Linked DNA regions of Arabidopsis thaliana. The protein of the gene in region 1 interacts with the protein of each later gene in a pairwise test. Each region holds a gene or a part of one and is shown on either strand. Other genes may lie near its edges.

What was found.
Region 2: the proteins of MYB21 (region 1) and GATA4 interact in a two-hybrid assay, tested with the Arabidopsis thaliana proteins (one large-scale study listed by BioGRID).

Annotation. Positions count from the first base shown.
Region 1 is NC_003074.8:10,304,223-10,307,981, reverse strand, and holds the start of MYB21 (myb domain protein 21), read right to left. Parts: upstream 2,134-3,759; 5' UTR 387-2,133; coding exon 230-386; intron 1-229. Other genes in the region: AT3G27809 (uncharacterized protein), read left to right, coding at 236-282.
Region 2 is NC_003074.8:22,370,947-22,374,705, reverse strand, and holds GATA4 (GATA transcription factor 4), read right to left. Parts: upstream 1,694-3,759; 5' UTR 1,359-1,693; coding exon 1,149-1,358; intron 1,072-1,148; coding exon 559-1,071; 3' UTR 152-558; downstream 1-151. UniProt on the Arabidopsis thaliana protein: Transcriptional activator that specifically binds 5'-GATA-3' or 5'-GAT-3' motifs within gene promoters. May be involved in the regulation of some light-responsive genes.

The sequences.
Region 1 (3,759 bases):
AAAAAAAAATCTAGTTATGAAAATATAATTAATATCTGTGTAGATAGATTTATATATAAAAGAAATGAACGTACGTAAGAAAAAGTATTTTACCTTAACAAAAAAAAAGTCTGCTTTTGTCGTATAGGATATATACCTTTGCATGTTATGACGAAACCCTAGTTCATACACCATATATGTATATAACTATAAATAATTGAATTTGATTTTAAGAAGAAATTAAACGAACCTGCAGATTTGGCGAGAGAATTCCAAACACCATCGCCGTGGTTGGCGATATAGTTGATAAGAATAAGATCTTCTTCCATCGTCCATGGTCCTTTTCTCACTTCTGCTTCTGCTGATGATCCCGAACCTCCACTACTTCCTCCTCCTCTTTTCTCCATTTTTTTTGTTATTATTCTTTATTTACTTTATTATATACGATCAAGTTTTTAAATATATTTTATAGATTTAGAGAGAGAGGAATATAAAAAAAAAAGAGTGAGAGAATAAGAGAGAAAGATGTGGGTGAGTTGATATTGAAGGTTGTGGAAGGTGAGGTACTGCTTTTATAGAGACTAAATTCACCGCGTGATTACTAACCCTTAATTAATCTAAAGTCTTAATTAATTATGTTTTACCTTAATCTTAGAGTGTTAATTAATCATAAAATTAATTTATGTATTAGGGGTTATTTTCATCCTAAACACTACTAATAACACATGCATGGGGACTATCTATGTATATCTCTTCAAACCTAACCAATTATAACAACATGGTTTCATTATTATTTGTTTTGAAAAAGGGTTTTAATAACATGGTTTCATGACTTTCATCCATCCATGTAGATATGTATATTAAAGACTGGAGACTCTTTGATGCATTCATGCATGGATGATGCAAGACATGCATGCAATAACATACATACGCGTGATTTTTGGTTTGTATATATGAATTATCCTCGCACCAACTCATGGTGTTACAATCTTAACCATGGATGATGGAAGTTATATATCAAGATTGTTATTATACATATGTATATCCCTCCTTCTACATATCTTATCTATATAAGATAATTAGCTATAGTGGTCCGTTTTGTTTGTTTCTAAATTTGCATAAACTTTAAAGGTGTAGAGAGGAGGTCTTCTTGGGCTTTTTTACCATCAGATATTTCTCTTTCACAAACAAAAAGACAAAAGAAGGTGGAGTAATTATAAGCTTTCTTGTCCTCTATAAACTGATTTGTTAGAATGAAGCTTAGTGATCATAATTAATTATCTTGTTAGTTTTAGATTAGCAGTCGATTTATTAAACGCTATTTCCTTTATATATGTACTAATAAAAGTTACATAGTGGCACACATAACATTTCTTGTTTCAATTATAAGTTAACTAAATGATTTACATAGTGGCACATATATCAGATTTAATGTTTCAACATGATATTACTAAGTAAACTTACGAAGACAATCAGTTAAATAAATGATTTTTTTGTTTCGCTAGTGGATTGAACGTGGAACATCCTTTCGCACTCAATCTGTAACATACAATTCATATAATTAACTTTTGTAAGTCTCCATATTAGTCTTGATTTAAATTTTATAAAAAAATCAAATTAAGTTTCTGTACACATATTGAATTTAATCGGGTTGCTTACCGGTTTAAGGGATCCTTCTTTTTTTTTTTCCATTCTAATTTTGGACAAAGCCCGGTTTAAGAGATCCAAAGACTTCATAAACAGACTGCTTGCCGTTTCACTTTTTTTTCTCAATCTATTTCTTCCATCGTTACCACACACAAGCCTCGACGTACTAAGTTTTCGGCATGAGACTCCTTGTCGTTTCTTTAGTCAACCATATTGTCCATATATTCAAGTCATAGTTGACGAAAAAAAGATTGGATGGTAATTAAATTGGTAGAATAAATTTGCTATGTACTTCAACAACTCAATGATCTTTATATGCTTTTGTAGTAGGGCATGTCTCATAAAGAAATCGATAAAAGTACATTAGTTTACTACTTTATAGTAATAAATAATGACGCCAAATTAACTTAATTAATTGTAGGTAACTGAACTTATTATACTCTATTAGTAAACAAATTAAGAACATGACAAAGAAAGTACAAATTAAGATGGAGACGCGACGATCTTGACACTCTAAAAAGTTATCTCACTCTAATCCCAACCAAATTCGAAATCCATTATCTTAAAGTGAAAAGTGACTAATTCCTAACCAAAAACACATCCAAAATTAATCAAATGTATGGTCCTTCACACTTCAAGTAGCAAATACTTGCTTTTGTTGCCACATCCCATCTCTTTTCATTTTTAATGCGATAACATGCGTTTATCAAGATTAAAAACAAAAGTCCTGATTAGATAGACTTTGACGTGACCATATATATCTGCCAACATTATTAATTTAGTTTTTCGACAATTCAACATCAGTTTAAGAAATAGGTTTTGAGTTATAAAATTAAAACATATAATTTTTTCATTAAATAATTATGTTAAGCACAAACGCAAAAATCAATATTTGTCTGTTGGTTTTTGGCTTTTACATTACAATTAACGATTTTTTTATACTTAAGATGCTTAGTTTGTTAGTTCAATTGAAAAGAACAAAATAAACGTTTGGGTACGAGTCGAATATGGGTAGACCCAAGGGCCAAGTCCATGGTACCGGACCCGTATACCAAACATCTGAATTGGTGCACTTTTATTTGATAAGTAACTTTAAAAAATAATAATAACTATGTTATCTTTGAGGAGGTGAATGATCTATGGAGCTAATAAGACCATTAGATTTTCATATTTGCAAAATAAAATAAAAATGATATATTTTAGATTTTATAGCAAGGGTTATGAGTGATTGAAAACCTACTCGTTAAAGCATAACTAAATAGTTTCCATATTTGAAAGGGCACATAATTTGGCGTATCATACAAAAGTTTAAGTACACTTAAGCCATTTTTAAGAAACCCCATTATTTGTGGCTACGATTTAATTAAGTGGAAACGACTCTTTTCTTAATTACTTCCCTCTTAAGCGCGTTATATGCACTTCCCTACTGGCTAATGTCAACTCTCAAGTACTAATCATTTTTATTTTCTTGTTACAAAAAATCCATTAACTTCCGAATTAACAAATTTACTACAAGCTTTATGTACACCAAGTAGAAAATTGTAATTGAAAATTCCAGAATTTAAAACTTTGAAAATCACAATTACCAACATATTACAAACTAACATCTTCTGTTAATTTGTTTTTGAAAAGAGAAAATTTAAAATTTCCAAAATTATATTCGTTTTCATATGTGTGAAAATTCTAGTATAAATACTCTATCAAAATGTTCTCTATTATCTAAACTTGAACTCGTGTTTTTAAAGACACTAAAAAAAATCTACTAATACACTAAACGAGTTATGCAGTAATTTTATCTAATATTGGTTGGCTACGCTTTCAAAAATAAAAGATTTTTAGTGTTAACGGAAAAATGTGAATAAATACGTGTGGTGATACAATAGTATTGGGTTTAAAAAACATGACGTAACTTTACAAAAGTTTTTTTTCTTACTACAGTTTCATATTCGGTTTTATCCCACATTGAGTCTACTGTCTACGTGTGGGCAAGCTTATAAAACCTTATTTACTAAGGTTAGACTCACTTTAGTGATCTGCCTGAAGCTTCGATGAAACTTAAAAACCTAGTGTTAAATATATGAATAGTGGTTCCAATTTTGTAATCGAAAAAGAAATTGTAATTGTTTGTCGTAC
Region 2 (3,759 bases), about 12 Mb from region 1:
TTTATAAGAGGTTTAAGCACTTTGTATAAGAGTATTGGTAATTTTTGGTTCAGATGGAATAAAGCGAAAAATTGTTAGATTTGAATAGCCTAAACCAGAGAGAGTTAGGTTTGGTATGGCTTAGGTTACTATTTTTTAAGAAAGTAGTAAACTGAATTGCCTCGTGAAATGCCAAAAACTCAAATTCTCAAGCATGTAACATGTATGATGTATGTATGAAGATTAACCAGCATTGTCATGTGTGATATAACATCATAAGTCACAAAAAGCAGAGTCCATGGTGGTTGAGAAGCTTTTATATCTGAAAAGAGGAAAATTAAATGCCGCCAATGAAATCATTTAATGATATAACTTTAAGGAGAGCCGTGAGACCAATAAACAAAAGCAAGAAAAAAATCAATAGAAATTACCAACAAATTAATTAGCAGAGATTTGCAAACTTTAAACTAATACTGATAATTAAGTCCTTAACCCCTCCCGTCGGTCACGTGATCATCACCGTTAAGATTACGACACGTCACCAAATCACAAAAACCCTTGAAAAGAAAACCCCCAAATTTACTGCGGCTGAAACGGCGGAATTCGAACGCAAGATTCTTGTTGTTCCTTCTGTCGCCGGAGCTCCATAACTTTCCGATGAGAGTTCGAATGCTGAGTCAATACAAACGTCGGACTCGACGCCGGTCTGTATTCCGGTACAAGCCTCCCTGATTTGTAACGAACTCCACAAGCGTTACAAAGTGTTTTAGGTCCAAGCGGTCCAGTTCTCCACTGTGGCGTTTTCTCCGAGGCACAGTGCGTGCACCGCCTCGCTCCATCCGCCGTAACCGATTCAGCGTTGTAGACTTTCTTCGGTTTAGGTTTAGCGACGGAGTGACAAAGCTCTGATTCAGACATCGGAGCCCAAGTTCCAGCTACGGAAGGTGCTGGTGCTCTTGATCGGCGACTTCTAGGTTTTCCGGTGAATGAAATCTCGGGTCTAACGGTCATGGTTAAAGGATTTGCTGGGAAATCGGAGAATGAATCGTCAACGAATCGCGATAACCATTCGAGATGAGCTGCGTCGTCACTCTGCAAAACTCAAAATCAGAACTTAGAAATTCAAAATCAAAATCAAAATTAGGGTAAATTGAAATTTGAAAACGTACGGGAACGCAGAGATCGTGAGTGAAGTCGGTGAGGAGAGTAGGAGAAGTGTAGGTGGAAGAAGGAAAGCTGAAAGGGTTTTCGGAAGAAGCGGCGGAGGAAGCGGCGGAGGAAGTGACGGTGGAAGAGGAAGAGAAGATTTCGTCGTTGGAGAAATCGAGAAGGTCGTCGATACGAAGCAAGTCCGGTGAAGACATGCCGTAGACGTCCATTGTTGACTCGGACTCGCTTACTGAGTATGTATGTGGTCACTGGTTCAGAGGTTTAATATAGAGAGAGAGAATTAGTGTAAGTGAGGAAAGAGACGAAGATGAGAACGTGCATAGAGTTAGCATGCACCGAGACTGACCTGACCACTCCCTTTTTTTCTATTTATTTATCCACTTTAATATATTTGTCTACATTTTTCTTTGAACATGCATGTGCTATTTAATTTACTTACCAGAGGATTAATTAACCATGAATTACATAATGCATATACTAGTCTTTTTTTAAAAACGCATATATTATAGATCGAGCTTATATTCTAAACAAGCATTTTGAAAACATTTCTTTCAAAACAGACACTCTAAACAGTAAAAGCATATAATACTTCAATTTTTATTGTTACGGACATTTTTGCCCTTAAACTATGAACTGGAGTTGAGAATGAGGTGAAAAGAATGTGTTTATCTTCTAAAAATTGTATCCCCATCTCTGATTCAATTTTAAGTTTCTTTTGACATCCAAAGATATATGGCTTAGATAGTGGACTTGCAGCTTCGACGGTAGGCATGAAGCTTTGACGATAGCACAAAGATTTGGTGGTGGTTCACGGCTTTGACAACGAGGGGTAACGAACGGCGTCAATGGTAAACGCTATACCCTAGAATTAGACTTGTAAACCCAAACCGTCAAATATAGAGTATGCAATTCTTACATACACACAATAACACAACACTACAACCATCCTCATTATCATCAAACACCATTAACATGAACAAAAATCAATGTACTTGTAGACATGATTATGAACATCAATTGAGCAATCAACAAAGTATCAATCACTTCTTGAATTCCTTAACCTGCACAAAAATCACTGAACAAAAAAACGTGCAAATCGTAATACTAAATCGTGGGACTTTTTTGTTTCTTGTTTTTTTTTTCCAGATCTCAAAATGTGGGATGTTAAAAATCTAGATCGCATTCACATCTCATGAGGACCGATTGTTAGTCGTCTGAATTTCCAATCGTCGCTGACATCACTCTGTAATCAATGACTCCAAAGTTGTTGGTGTTGGTCGCAAGTATTTTTGATTTCTAGTGTAAAACGTAAAAGTTCATCAACAAAGAAAGAACAACATCATCTCTCTGTAAGGGTAAAAACGACTTTCCCCAGGAAAGAAGTGCCTAAATCTAAAGATCATTTCAAAAGTGCCTAAAATAAAATATATATCTAAGACAAATGCCTTATTTGCAATAAACTCATTATAGATCATAGTCTATAGTTTTATTAATTTAAACAAGTAATGAAGGGGAAATTAAATAAATGCAAGGTTACTAATTTTATTTTTTTCAATAAGCCTCTCTCCCTTTTGTTAATTAAATTCTTCTGCCATCTCCTAAAAAGGTTTTCCGATTTTTTTTCTTAATTTTGTTGAAATTTGTGAGTTGGATCATTTAGTATCCCGTTGAGTTTTTTTTTTTTTTTATGTTTTCTTGTTCAAAGAAAATAAAATAATATTCTCCGGAATGTGTAATCAATCATAGAGTTGAATTTCAACATGACCAAAACAAGGAAATAGAGAACAAAATTGGCTCAACAATTTATTAATACAAAGTGATGCGAATGTATAACTATCTTGTTTCTTGTGCTTACATGAATATTTCGCATTTTGCAATCACACTTACAGAAAAAGAAAGAGACACAGAAGTGGGACTAGCTTCGATCGTTGTAGAATAGAGTGTACACAAGTATCTAATATCATTCTTCAGTAACCTAGCATGTCTTTCACAGGTTTGATTAATAACTAATGTGATAACGTTTAGAAATATCCTTACTACCAGAAGTAACGAAAATTTAGTTTTGATAAAGAGTTGTTTTGACATATTATTTTAAACATTGAAGAGATAACTATAAAAATGTAGTGGGGAATGGGAAAATGGATGGAGACAATGAAGGAGATGAGTCGACCGACGATCCGAAGTGCATTGCACTTTGGTTCTATAAATTCCTATGGCCCTCTTTTTAGGTTTATATATACATATTTTTTCCCTATCATTTATCTTCTTATGTCTCTTTCATGCATTGCTCCTTCATTAATTTATTCAGTTTTTCAACTATACAGAAACTACTCATATATGTACAAACACGCACGGCACATGCATATGATATAAAGAATGGGGAACCAATTGTTGCGAACATTGTGTTCATATTCGGCTAAAATATAAACATTCATATGCATCACTATCTTGTGTTCAATTTTTATGTGGCACCGCCAATCATCATAAGGCTCTAATTCGGGCAGATGTATCTGATTTCTTATGTCTTAACCATCTAATTACAAGGTACAATTGAATTAGAATTTAGGTAAATACATTGCGTGTATATGCAGTAAAAACATATTCCAATAT